Linked DNA regions of Coturnix japonica. The main gene of each other region encodes a partner of the protein of the gene in region 3 in a complex. Links are inferred from orthologs where the notes say so. Each region holds a gene or a part of one and is shown on either strand. Other genes may lie near its edges. The genes, in order: LAMTOR2, FNIP1 and LAMTOR5.

The links.
Region 1: LAMTOR5 (region 3) and LAMTOR2 share a complex: the UniProt entries of both Homo sapiens proteins name them as parts of the ragulator complex. The link is inferred for Coturnix japonica from reciprocal best matches to the Homo sapiens genes LAMTOR5 and LAMTOR2.
Region 2: LAMTOR5 (region 3) and FNIP1 share a complex: the UniProt entries of both Homo sapiens proteins name them as parts of the lysosomal folliculin complex. The link is inferred for Coturnix japonica from reciprocal best matches to the Homo sapiens genes LAMTOR5 and FNIP1.

The regions. Positions count from the first base shown.
Region 1 is NC_029540.1:79,369-82,794, forward strand, and holds LAMTOR2 (ragulator complex protein LAMTOR2), read left to right. Parts: upstream 1-1,472; 5' UTR 1,473-1,596; coding exon 1,597-1,664; intron 1,665-1,778; coding exon 1,779-1,941; intron 1,942-2,333; coding exon 2,334-2,423; intron 2,424-2,661; coding exon 2,662-2,718; 3' UTR 2,719-2,860; downstream 2,861-3,426. Other genes in the region: UBQLN4 (ubiquilin-4), read right to left, coding at 1,225-1,368; RAB25 (ras-related protein Rab-25), read left to right, coding at 3,396-3,426. UniProt on the Homo sapiens protein: As part of the Ragulator complex it is involved in amino acid sensing and activation of mTORC1, a signaling complex promoting cell growth in response to growth factors, energy levels, and amino acids.
Region 2 is NC_029528.1:1,525,118-1,528,864, reverse strand, and holds the start of FNIP1 (folliculin-interacting protein 1), read right to left. Parts: upstream 2,579-3,747; 5' UTR 2,562-2,578; coding exon 2,368-2,561; intron 1-2,367. UniProt on the Homo sapiens protein: Binding partner of the GTPase-activating protein FLCN: involved in the cellular response to amino acid availability by regulating the non-canonical mTORC1 signaling cascade controlling the MiT/TFE factors TFEB and TFE3.
Region 3 is NC_029541.1:1,788,799-1,792,545, reverse strand, and holds the start of LAMTOR5 (ragulator complex protein LAMTOR5), read left to right. Parts: upstream 1-1,175; 5' UTR 1,176-1,275; coding exon 1,276-1,310; intron 1,311-1,421; coding exon 1,422-1,483; intron 1,484-3,052; coding exon 3,053-3,170; intron 3,171-3,599; coding exon 3,600-3,660; 3' UTR 3,661-3,747. UniProt on the Homo sapiens protein: As part of the Ragulator complex it is involved in amino acid sensing and activation of mTORC1, a signaling complex promoting cell growth in response to growth factors, energy levels, and amino acids.

The DNA.
Region 1 (3,426 bases), on a different chromosome or scaffold from region 3:
ACAGAGTTCAGGAAATCCACATGGAAAGGCTGGGAGCAGAAGATCACAGCTTTCCTGGGGCAGCTCGCTGCCATGGTCCAGAACTCCCGAAAAACTGGGCCTGGGAGGACGGACCCCTGGCACTGAAGTGACCCAGGGCGTGAAGCTTCACCCGCTGCTCTGCACGCTGACAGCACAGGGCTGGGAAGCAGCAGGGCCACGCACAGCACACAGCTCCTGCCCAGCTCCCAGCACACGCTGCAACCTCGTGCCCTGAAGCCCACATCAAAGTACACAGCAAAACACACACACAGCCAAGATCCACAGCACTGACACCACTCTGCCCCGGCGGGCACTGCCACCTGCACAACGCTTCTTGTGAACCCTCTGCTGCCCTGCAAACACACAGTGCCCCTGTGGAGCTCCCTGCTCACAGCAAACCCACATGTCTGACGTCCCCTTCCCTCTGCTTCACTCTCCCTCTGCCCCAAAGGCAGAAATGAAAGGTCTGAGAAGGACGGACAGAGCAGCCTCTGGCCTCAGCCCCACCGCACACATCCACTGCCCCACAGCTCCCCGCAGCCCAGCCCCAGGGCCGCGTCCCATCACAGCACCCACCCGCTGCCTCTCAGCTCCCCAAGCTGCAGCTCCCGCTGCTCTTCCAGCAGCTCCTGCCAGCCCCGGAGCCGCGCCCCCATGTGCCCTGACCTGAGGCATCTCCGGGCCCTAAGGGAGAAGATCCCTGATCCCTCCAGGCCCAGCCGCCCCACGCAGCGCCTCCCCGCTGTCCCACAACACCCCCACTACCAGCAGCACAACCCCCGGGCCGTGCCCCTCACACCCCCCCCAGCCCGCAGACCCCTCCCGGCCCCCCCTTCCCGTTCCCACCGGCACATCCCGCCCCCCCCTCCCGCACCGCCCCGACAACGCCCCGTTCTCGCCCCCCGGCGGGTTCCAGCCCCTCGGCTCCCGCACAACACACGCCGTCACTCCGCTGCAGCCCAACCCCGGCCCCACGCCCCCCATGGCCGGGGAGGCCCCAGCTCCGCTCAGCCCAGCTCCGCTCCCGCCCCTCACAACCTTCCCCCCCCCGGCTCCTCACACCCCCGAGGTTCCTCCCTCCAATTCTCGCCCAACCCCTCCCGCCACCTTCCCGCTCCGCACCCTCCTCGGTCTCGCGGCCCGTGTCTCCCGCGGCCCCTCGCAGCGCTCAGGCCTAGGCCCCGTCCTCCGTCCCGTCCCCACCTCGCGCACGGAGGCGCCGTCGGCGATGACGATCTCCTCCTTGTCCTTGGGGGTCTTCACCGTGACGCGGATGAGCGCCCCGCCGGGACCTCCCAGCTCCGACCCGCCGGGGCCCGGCCCGCCGCCGCCACTCGGCTCCGCCATCTTCGCCGCCCGCCCCGCCAGCCCTGGCCGACAGAGAAAGGCCGGGACAGAGCGCCGCCACGGCCCGCGCCGCAGCACAGCGCCCCCTGGCGGCGGGGAGGATCGAGAGGCGACGGAACCGGAACCGGAACGGAGCGCGGAACCGCCCCGAACGGAACCGAACGGCAGCAAACACCGAACGGGGGCGGCCTACACCGGGAACGGGCCCCGCGCCCCGCGCTGCCTGCCATGCTGCGGCCCAAAGCGCTGACGCAGGTGCTGAGCCAGGCCAACACCGGCGGCGTCCAGAGCACGTTGTGAGCGGGGACGGGGCCGGGGGCGGTGCGACCGTACGGTCATTGCGGTGTGATGTGACCGTACCGTCACGGCGGGGCTCGGCCCGGAGCTGACCGTTCCCCGCTCCGTTGCAGGCTGCTGAACAATGAGGGCTCGCTCTTGGCCTACTCGGGATACGGAGACACGGACGCCCGCGTGACCGCGGCCATCGCCAGCAACATCTGGGTGGCCTACGACAAGAACGGGCACCACGCGTTCAACGAGGACAACCTGCGCTTCATCCTCATGGACTGCATGGTACGGAACGGCTGCGGGACCCCACGGGATCCATGCGGGACCCCCGGTGTGCGGGACCCACAGCAGCACCCACAGTGGGATCCGAGGTGTTCAGCAGCAGCTTCTGTGTGGGAGCCCAAGGGGTCCGTGTGAACCCCATAAATCTCAATGTGACCCCATAAATCTCAGTGTGACCCCATAAATCCCAATGTGACCCCATAAATCTCAGTGTGACCCCATAAATCTCAGTGTGACCCCATAAATCTCAGTGTGACCCCATAAATCCCAATGTGACCCCATAAATCTCAATGTGACCCCATAAATCCCACTGTGACCCCATAAATCCCACTGTGACCCCATAAATCCCGCTGTGACCCCCTGAATCTCCGTGTGACCCCGGTTCTCTCCGGCAGGAGGGGCGCGTGGCCATCACCCGCGTGGCGAACCTCCTGCTGTGCATGTACGCCAAGGAGACGGTGGGATTTGGGATGCTGAAAGCCAAGGTGAGGGGATGGGGGTGAGGGGATGGGGGTGAGGGGGTGGGGGGCTGCATTACGGTGAGGTGTGAAAGAGCCACGGGGTTAAAGCCGGGAGGAAGAGGATGGGAGAGATGGGGGAGGAATTGCAATCAAAATGGGAACTGTCTGCGTGGGTCCCAGATTGGTGCTGGGGTGGGACGGGGGTTTGCCCACAGAATGTGGGCGCTGGGGGCTGCACCCCTCACCACCATCCCTGCCCCAGGCACAGGCGCTGGTGCAATACCTGGAGGAGCCGCTGACGCAGGTGGCCGCATCCTGAGCTGCATCTGAGCTGCATCCTGAGCATGGAACCGCGCTGCCACGGCTGAGAGCAGCGCCTGCACGGGGGGAACCGTGTTGTGAGCCCGGCTGTGCTGCTGGGCAGCAGGGGAGGGGAAATAAAGCCACGTGTGGTGCTCGTGTCCTGAGTGTCTGTCAGATCAGTGCAGGGTGGAAGGGTGGGACGGGGTCAGCCGTGCACCCAGCCAGGGGTCTGTGGTGCAGCTGGGAGCGTTGTGCTGTCCCTGCTGGGGCTGCTTCCCCCACGTTCCCATCTCTCTGTGCTGGCAGCAGAGGTGCAGGCGGCCGTTGGTGCCCGGCCAGCTCCATGCTGAGCCCAGGGCCCCAGTGCCCCAGGCTGCCCCGCGCCGCGTGGCCTTGGCAGCCAGGACCGGGCCCGGCTCCTCCTCCAGGTGCCCCGTGACGGTTCCAGGGGTGACATTACCTGCCCAACCTGCGCTGCCGCTCCCAGCCTGCACTCAGCCGCCCTGGGCCTCCCTGCGCCGCCCGCGTCGCCTTCACTCCCCGACCGCGCTCCCTCCTGGGACCCCCCTCACTGCTGGGACCCCCCTCACACCCCGACACAGAGGAGACTTTGCCCCCCTCACCACCCCCTGCAGCCCGCCCCGCTCTGAGCTCTGCGGAGGGAAGGAGGAAACCGGGCGGCAGCCGGGAGATATGAGCAGCACTGAGGACGACTACAACTTTG
Region 2 (3,747 bases), on a different chromosome or scaffold from region 3:
TAGCAGAAGTTACCCTTGGGGAAAATCCACTCACGTGAGTATTATTTGCAGCAGACAGCTGGTACTCGACACCTTAGAGCTTAAGGGTTGTCTCTGCTCTGGAATACATGCAGGTGTTTCTTGTAAACATATTTTACTATAAAAGCATGGAATGTTTTTGCTCTTGCTACAAACACCTGGCTGCACGGGGAGAGTGCAGTCTGAAGATCAGCTCTGCTGACTGTCACCAGTTAAGCTGACAGGTTAAAATACCAATATGTAGTGGATCTTAAAGCTGCTTCTCACATACAGGGGAAAGAAAAACCAAACAAAGTGAGACATCAGCAAATGCTTTGCAGCTGCTGACTTACTGGGCACCTCCCTGGAAGGGGCAGCCTCTCCACACCTGCTTCTGAAGTGCTGCTGCACTCAGCCTCAACGTGTCACATCCCCACCTGAGACAAAAGGATTCTGGGCAGGAGAAAGAAAAGTAATAAGGAAAAGCTTCCAGAGGAAAAGGTAATTTCTGTTATTGTTGAAACAACATAAGCTGAGATCAGTAGAACTTACGCTTTAGTAAACGTTCACAATAAGTCTGAAGGAAAGGCAGAATATGGTCAAAGAGAGGAAAAAAAGCATTAAAATAATCCTAAAACCACTTGCTATACAGATGTCACTGCCATAGAAGCTGGACTTTTCTCTCTCCTTATCAACCCCTAAATATATTAAGTGAATTTATATAATTGTAAGGTATTTTCTACACAGTTTCTCGCTAAGAGGACCAACGAGAAGGCAATCAACAGCAACAGCACGCGGTATACTTGGAAAAGGTTTCCTTACTGAGAATATAAACCAATAGTAACATGAAGTATCCATGAAGATACACTTGTATCACTGAAGGCAATGACACTGATGCCCCGGTACTTACTAGAAGCACAGAAGCAGACAAAAACTGGTTTCCAGGCTCCAAAACCCAGCTATCATAAATAACAGTATTTTGTGTATTCTCCATAAGTTTTGCCCACAACCAACGCGGCCATGTGTAGTGAGGATTAACTCCAGACTTATCCCCAGTTGGAAAGCAAAAGAAGCCACTAGGCAATGTGCCTACAGGCCATTGAAATCCAGCACTTGGCTCTTGGAATCACAGCCCCATCCTACACCTCAACCATCAGCACCAAGTGAACAACTGCGCATCTACCAGCAGCTGACGGTTCCCATGACACGGTGAAGCAGCACTACGTGAGTGGAGGAGGGCAGAGCAGACAGCGTGACATATCTTCAACGTCCACATGCAGTTTGGCACGCTGTGAGTTGAGAAGGAAGAAGAGGCATCTCCCAGCAGAGCTTTTGCTTTGTGATCCACATGCTTCTGCCTGGGGTCTGCAGCCCTGGTGTCCCTTCCCCAGCAAGGAGCCTGACCTCAGAAATAAGCTAAGTTAGAGAATCAGATGATACGGACATCGTTAAAAAGCTTTGTCTCCTAAAGTACGTATATTTTAAAGGAGCCACTACCACAGCCAGGAGAGAGAGGAGAGCAGCATCTCCAGAAGGCAGCTCTATGAGTTGCAGCACCAGCCTTCAGGTGCTGCCCAAGCTGCGTGCTGACCACACAAGGGCTCTGTGACCACCGCGATGCTCCGACAACAGCACAAGCACCACGAGCCGCCCGAAGCAGCGGGTGCAGGAATCACATCCCCACGTGCACTCAGGTGTCCCCTTCCCGGTGGGGCTGTCAGGGCAGCAGATGGGAGCAGCGCCTCGCACAACGTTCGGTCCACACTCAAACTGCAAACTTTGCACTTTAAAACTATTTCTCAGGGCCACCTTCTGTCCCTCCAGCCAAGAGGGGGCTGCGTGGCTTCCCAGTGCGGGGTGCTCTATTTTAAAGCCCAGAAACCGAGTCGTTCCCACACGACGGCCCCGAACGGAGCTCCGGGTGGATCCCACCGCCCCTCCTCAGCCCCACTGCTGCGACCGAGGACCCAGCGCCGTCGCGGTGAGATCGTGACAGATTTCACCAGTAACCCTACACCTCTCTTGGCAGCGACTTAACGTTTTCTCCTCCTTTTTCTTCACGTTTTTAAGGTCGCTCCCTCCCGGCTCGCAGCCCCGTGACGAGCGGCATGGCGCCGGCCTCCCTCACCATCCTCCCCCCTTCCCGGCCCCGAGCATCCCCCGAGGGAACGTCGGGAGCCCCCGCAGGGCCGCCCCGGGGGCCATAAGGAGGGCGGCGGGGCCGGGCCGCCGTGAGGGGCAGAGCCCGGCGGCGGATGGCGGAGGAGCGGCGGGGAAGAGGCGCTGCCCGGCCCCGCACGGCCCCTACGGCGGAGCGGGAGCCCGAGCTCGGGGCGGGGGGGAAGGAGGGCGGCCCCGGCGCCGCGTTACCTGAAGACGCAGTCGTCTCTCGCGTCCCTGGCCGGGGAGCTGAGGCCGTGCTTCTTGTTGAAGAGCTTCTGGAACAGGGTGGGCGGCATCTTGGGGAGCCGCCGCCGCTGCCCCCCGCCGCCGGGCTCCGAGCAGCGCCGTCCCCGCGCCGCGGCTAGTTCCGCCCGCCCGACTCCATTCGGTGTCACAGTCATATGACAAAAATTAGTCACTCGGCGCTGCCAGAAGGGGAGGGCCGGCGGGGCGGGCCCGGCGGGGCGCTGCGTGGGACGCTGAGTGGCTGAGGCCCCACGTGGGCAGGGCGAGGGGGAAGCGGAGCCCGCAGCCCCCGGGTGGGGAGCGGAGAGAGGGGCCGGGGAGCGGCGGAGCGGGGCGGAGCGGGGCCGGGCTCCTCCTGCTGCACGGGAAAGGCCACGAGGGGCCGAGAGCCCGTGGAACAGCCTCGGTCGGGAAACACCGCCGGGACCCACACCCACCCACCTACCCACCCACCTACCTACCTACCTACCTACCTACCTACCTACCTACCTACCTACCGTACCACTGCCCGTGTGCCCCCGTGCCACGTCGCCCCGCTCCGGAACAGTTCAGGGACGGCGGCCTGTGCCGGTGCTCAGCTGCTCTTTGAGAGAAGTAACTCTATCTTACATCCAACCTGCAGCACTTAAGAAACTTTTCCTTGAAAGTGGAAACAGGTTTCAGTTTGATCTCCTCGGACAGGTCAAGCTTTGGGGTTGGAAATAAAGAACAAACTCATCTCCTCCCACCTTTCATCTCATCCAGGCCTGCTCAGGGTGGGGGGCTCCCCCAGCACAGACAGAAATAGCACTCCAAGCTGGGAGGAAGGAAGGCAGCCACGTGTGCTGTGTGCAGGGGAAGCCATCGTACCCATAAAACATCCATCTGCCAAACGCATTTAGGACATAGTAACCCACACATAACCCACATGTGAATCCAGACCAAACACAAGCCAAAGGGAGCATTTTTTGCAGAAGCATTTATTAGGTTTAAACCAATGGGTCCAGTTAACAGCCTCCTTCACTGTCTCACTTGTTAAGATACAAGACTAGCAGAAAGTGAAAATAATTAGGAACTGATTAAATAGAACTGACTCATCTGCTTTCCCTGGAAAATGGAATTAAACTAAGTCAGCATGTGACATAATGTTACATTAGAAATGCTTTTAAACAAGGATATTTTGTGCATAAGATACACAACCACCTGCAGGATCTCTGGTTTTCATCCGCTAGAAGTTGATGCTTGTAACAGAAAGCAGGAACCAATGTTCAGATGCATCCTTCCCCCTTATTCTGGATGGAGGACACACCTGTGTGCCACAGGCTCACTAAGGAGAGCTCTCTATATCCCTTCACCATGTGA
Region 3 (3,747 bases):
AATAACCCAAAATGGAGCTCTGGGACAGGCAGGATATCCAGTATGGGGGGGATGCAATGGGATTGGAGTGACTGGTGACGATTCCAACTCAATCAAGAAGGGGAAAAAAATTGAAAGAGAAATAAAACTAAGAAAAATCACCACTGCATTTCACTTCCCCCATCAATAACATTTTAATTTTCCAGCCTGACATGATAAGATCCATTGCCAGGGCTGAGCTGGATGCGTTTCAGCCATCAGTCTCAGGCTCTGATGGCTCTGCCATCCATCACCTCCTGCACACTGAAAGCAGGGCACGAATGGCTGTGATACAACACTACAGCCCCACGTCCTCTGTGGGAGTGGGTGTGGGGCCCTTACAGCTCTTTGGGGACAAATACAGGGCATAAAGAAAGGTATGGAGCTGTGTTGGGATGGACAGGATGGGTGTTAGGAAAAGGCTGAGCACCAGAGGGAGGTGGGCATGGCACAGCTCCACAGGGCAGGGGCACCCAAAACCATAGGGGTTGGGTGGAGGGAGTTGGACTTAGTGGTACCTGTAGGTCCTCATTGACCAGTGGTTGACTAATGGTTAACCAATGGTTGACCAGCTGTTGACTAGTGGTTGGCTTCTGGTTGACCAGTGCTTGCCCAGCAGTTGACTTGTGGTTGGCTAATGGTTGACCAGCAGTTGACTAGTGGCTGACTACTAGTTGACCAATGGTTGACCAGCAGTTGACCAATGGTTGACCAGTGGTTGACCAATGGTTGACCAACAGTTGACCAGTGGTTGACCAGTGGTTGACCAATGGTTGACCAGCGGTTGACCGGTGGTTGACTAGTGGCTGACCAATGATTGATTAATGGTTGACCAGTGGTTGACCAGCAGTTGACCAGTGGTTGACAATGGTTGACCAGCAGTTGACCAACAGTTGACTAGTGGTTAACAGTGGTTGACCAATGGTTGACCAGTGGTTGACCAGCAGTTGACCAATGGTTGACCAATGATTGACCAATGGTTGACCAATGGTTGACCAGCAGTTGACCGGTGGTTGGCTAGTGGTTGACCAATGGTTGACCAGCAGTTGACCAGTGGTTGACTACTAGTTGACCAATGGTTGACCAATGGTTGACCAGTGGTTGCCCAATGGGAACATACCGGTGCTGCTCAGGGCGGTTCCCGTACATTGGCTTCGCTTTTTGGCCCTGCGGAGCCACCGTAGCGTGCATCACATGACCGACGCAGCTGCCAGGAGCCGCCGAGAAGGGCGGAAGTGAAGGCGACAGGGGGGCGGCATGGAGGGGAGCCTGGAGCAGCACCTGGAGGACACGTACGGACCGGGATGGGGGCGGCGGGACCGAGGGGCTGGGGGGGGGAAGGAAGGCAAGGCCGCGGGCTGGGGGCTGGGTGTAGGCCGGGCTGACCGCCGCTTCTCCCGCAGCATGAAGAACCCGGCCGTGGTGGGAGTCCTGTGCACCGACTCGCAAGGCCTCAACCTGGGGTGTGAGTATGGGAGCGACCAGGGCAGGGCCTGGGTTAGGGGTGGGCATGGGGACACACATAGAGCCCCTATAGACCCCCATAGAGCCCCTATGGACCCCCTATGGACCCCTATGGACCCCCCCCATAGGACCCCTATGGACCCCTATAGAACCCCTGTCCCCCATAGAACCCCTGTGGACCCCCCCGCATAGAACCCCTATGGACCCCCCTATAGGACCCCTGTGGACCCCGCATAGAACCCCTGTCCCCCATAGAACCCTTATGGACCCCCCATAGAACCCCTATGGACCCCCTGTGGACCCTCATAGAACCCCTATGGACCCCTATAGAATCCCTGTCCCGCATAGAACCCCTGTGGACCCCCCCGCGTAGAACCCCTATGGACCCCCCTAGTAAACCCCCTATGACCCCCCCAGTATAAGACCCCTATGGACCCCGTATAGAACTTCCTGTCCACCATATAACCACTGTGCGACACCCCCCATAGAAACCCCTGTGGACCCCCTCATTAGAACCCCCCCCCAAACCACAGAACCCCTGTGGACCCCCCTGGATAGAACCCCTTGGTGACCCCCCATTAGAACCCCTATGACCCCCATAGATAAAAAAAAAAAACCCCCCCCCCCCCCCCTTAGAAACCCTGTGCCCCCCTGGCATAGAACCCCTTTGGGACCCCACCCAGTAGAAACCCCTATGGACCCCCTCCCCATATAACCCTATGGACCCCCCCCATATAACCCTATGGACCCCCCCATAGAACCCTATTGACCCCCCCATAGAACCCCTATGGACCCCCCATAGAACCCCTGTGGACACCCCATAGAACCCCCCCCATAGAACCCCTGTGGACCCCACCCCCAGTAGAACCCCTGTGACCCCCCCACATAGAACCCCAGACCCATAGAATCCCTGTGGACCCCCCATTACGAACCCCTATTACCCCCCCATAGAACCCCGTATTGGAACCCCCATAGAACCCCCCATAGAAACTCACGCATCGCAATGCGTGTCTGGATGCATACCCCCAAAGAACCCCCCCATAGAACCCCTTGGACCCCCCCCATAGAACCCCTGTGGACCCCCCTGCATAGAACCCCTGTGGACCCCCCTGCATAGAACCCCTGTGGACCCCCCATAGAACCCCTATGGACCCCCTTTGGGACCCCCCCCCCATAGAACCCTTATGACCCTCCATAGAAACCCCTGTGGACCCCCTGTAGAGCCCCTGTGGACCCCGCATAGAACCCCTTATGGACCCCCCCATAGAACCCCAATGGACTCCCATAGAAGCACCAGCACAGGTTGCCCCTAGCTAGATGTGGGTGCTCTGGCCCTGGAGACACTGGAAGTCAGGGATGGGGGCTGTGAGCATCTGCTGGAGCTATGGGTGTCCCTGTTCATTGCAGGGGGGTTGGGCTGATGGCCTTTATATGTCCCTACCAACTCATGTGATTCTTTGATCTGGGGAGGTACTACATCAGCTTACAGCAATAAGGGAAGGAAGTGGGGATGGGGAGCTGCCTCCCATCACGGTGTGCGTGAGTTCAACCCACATCTCCCCTCTTGCAGGCCGAGGAACGCTCTCAGATGAACATGCTGGAGTCATCTCTGTGCTGGCCCAGCAGGCAGCCAAGCTCACCTCCGACCCAACCGACACTCCTGTGGTGTGCCTGGAGTCAGACAGTGGGTGAGCATCCAGCCCAAGGCTGCTGCTCTTCCCTTTTTCCCCACCCCAAATCTCCAGAGCAGAGCTCTCCATCTTCTATTTCACTGGCAGAGCTGGAGGAAGCCCCATTGCTGAAGCTGTGTTGGGAGGGGGGTATGAAAAGAAGTCAGATTCATGGGACCTCAGGCTTTGGGAACTGCAGAAGCAGCTGGAAGCCTTTCAGGGGCTGGTGGTTGCTGCAGCACTGTATTTCTTTTGCTTTTTGGATCCCCATGGATTATTTAGCCCATGCTGTAGTGTCGTTTTGGTCAGCAGGACTCCATCATCCCCCTTTGTGGGAACAGCTGACAGGTCTGGCACTGAGCTGCCCATCTGGTTTCCCAGCCAAGTCAGCTCCTGCTCTCCCAGCTGGTTTCTCACCTTCCTCTGACAGCACTTTCCTTGCTCTAGGAACATCATGATCCAGAAGCATGACAGCATCACCGTAGCAGTGCACAAGTTGGCATCCTGACCGTGGCATCCTGATGCTCCATTCCCTGCTCCAGACCAGCTCCTCCTCATTCTCCTTGGCTGTTCCAATGCAGAACACGCTTCTAGT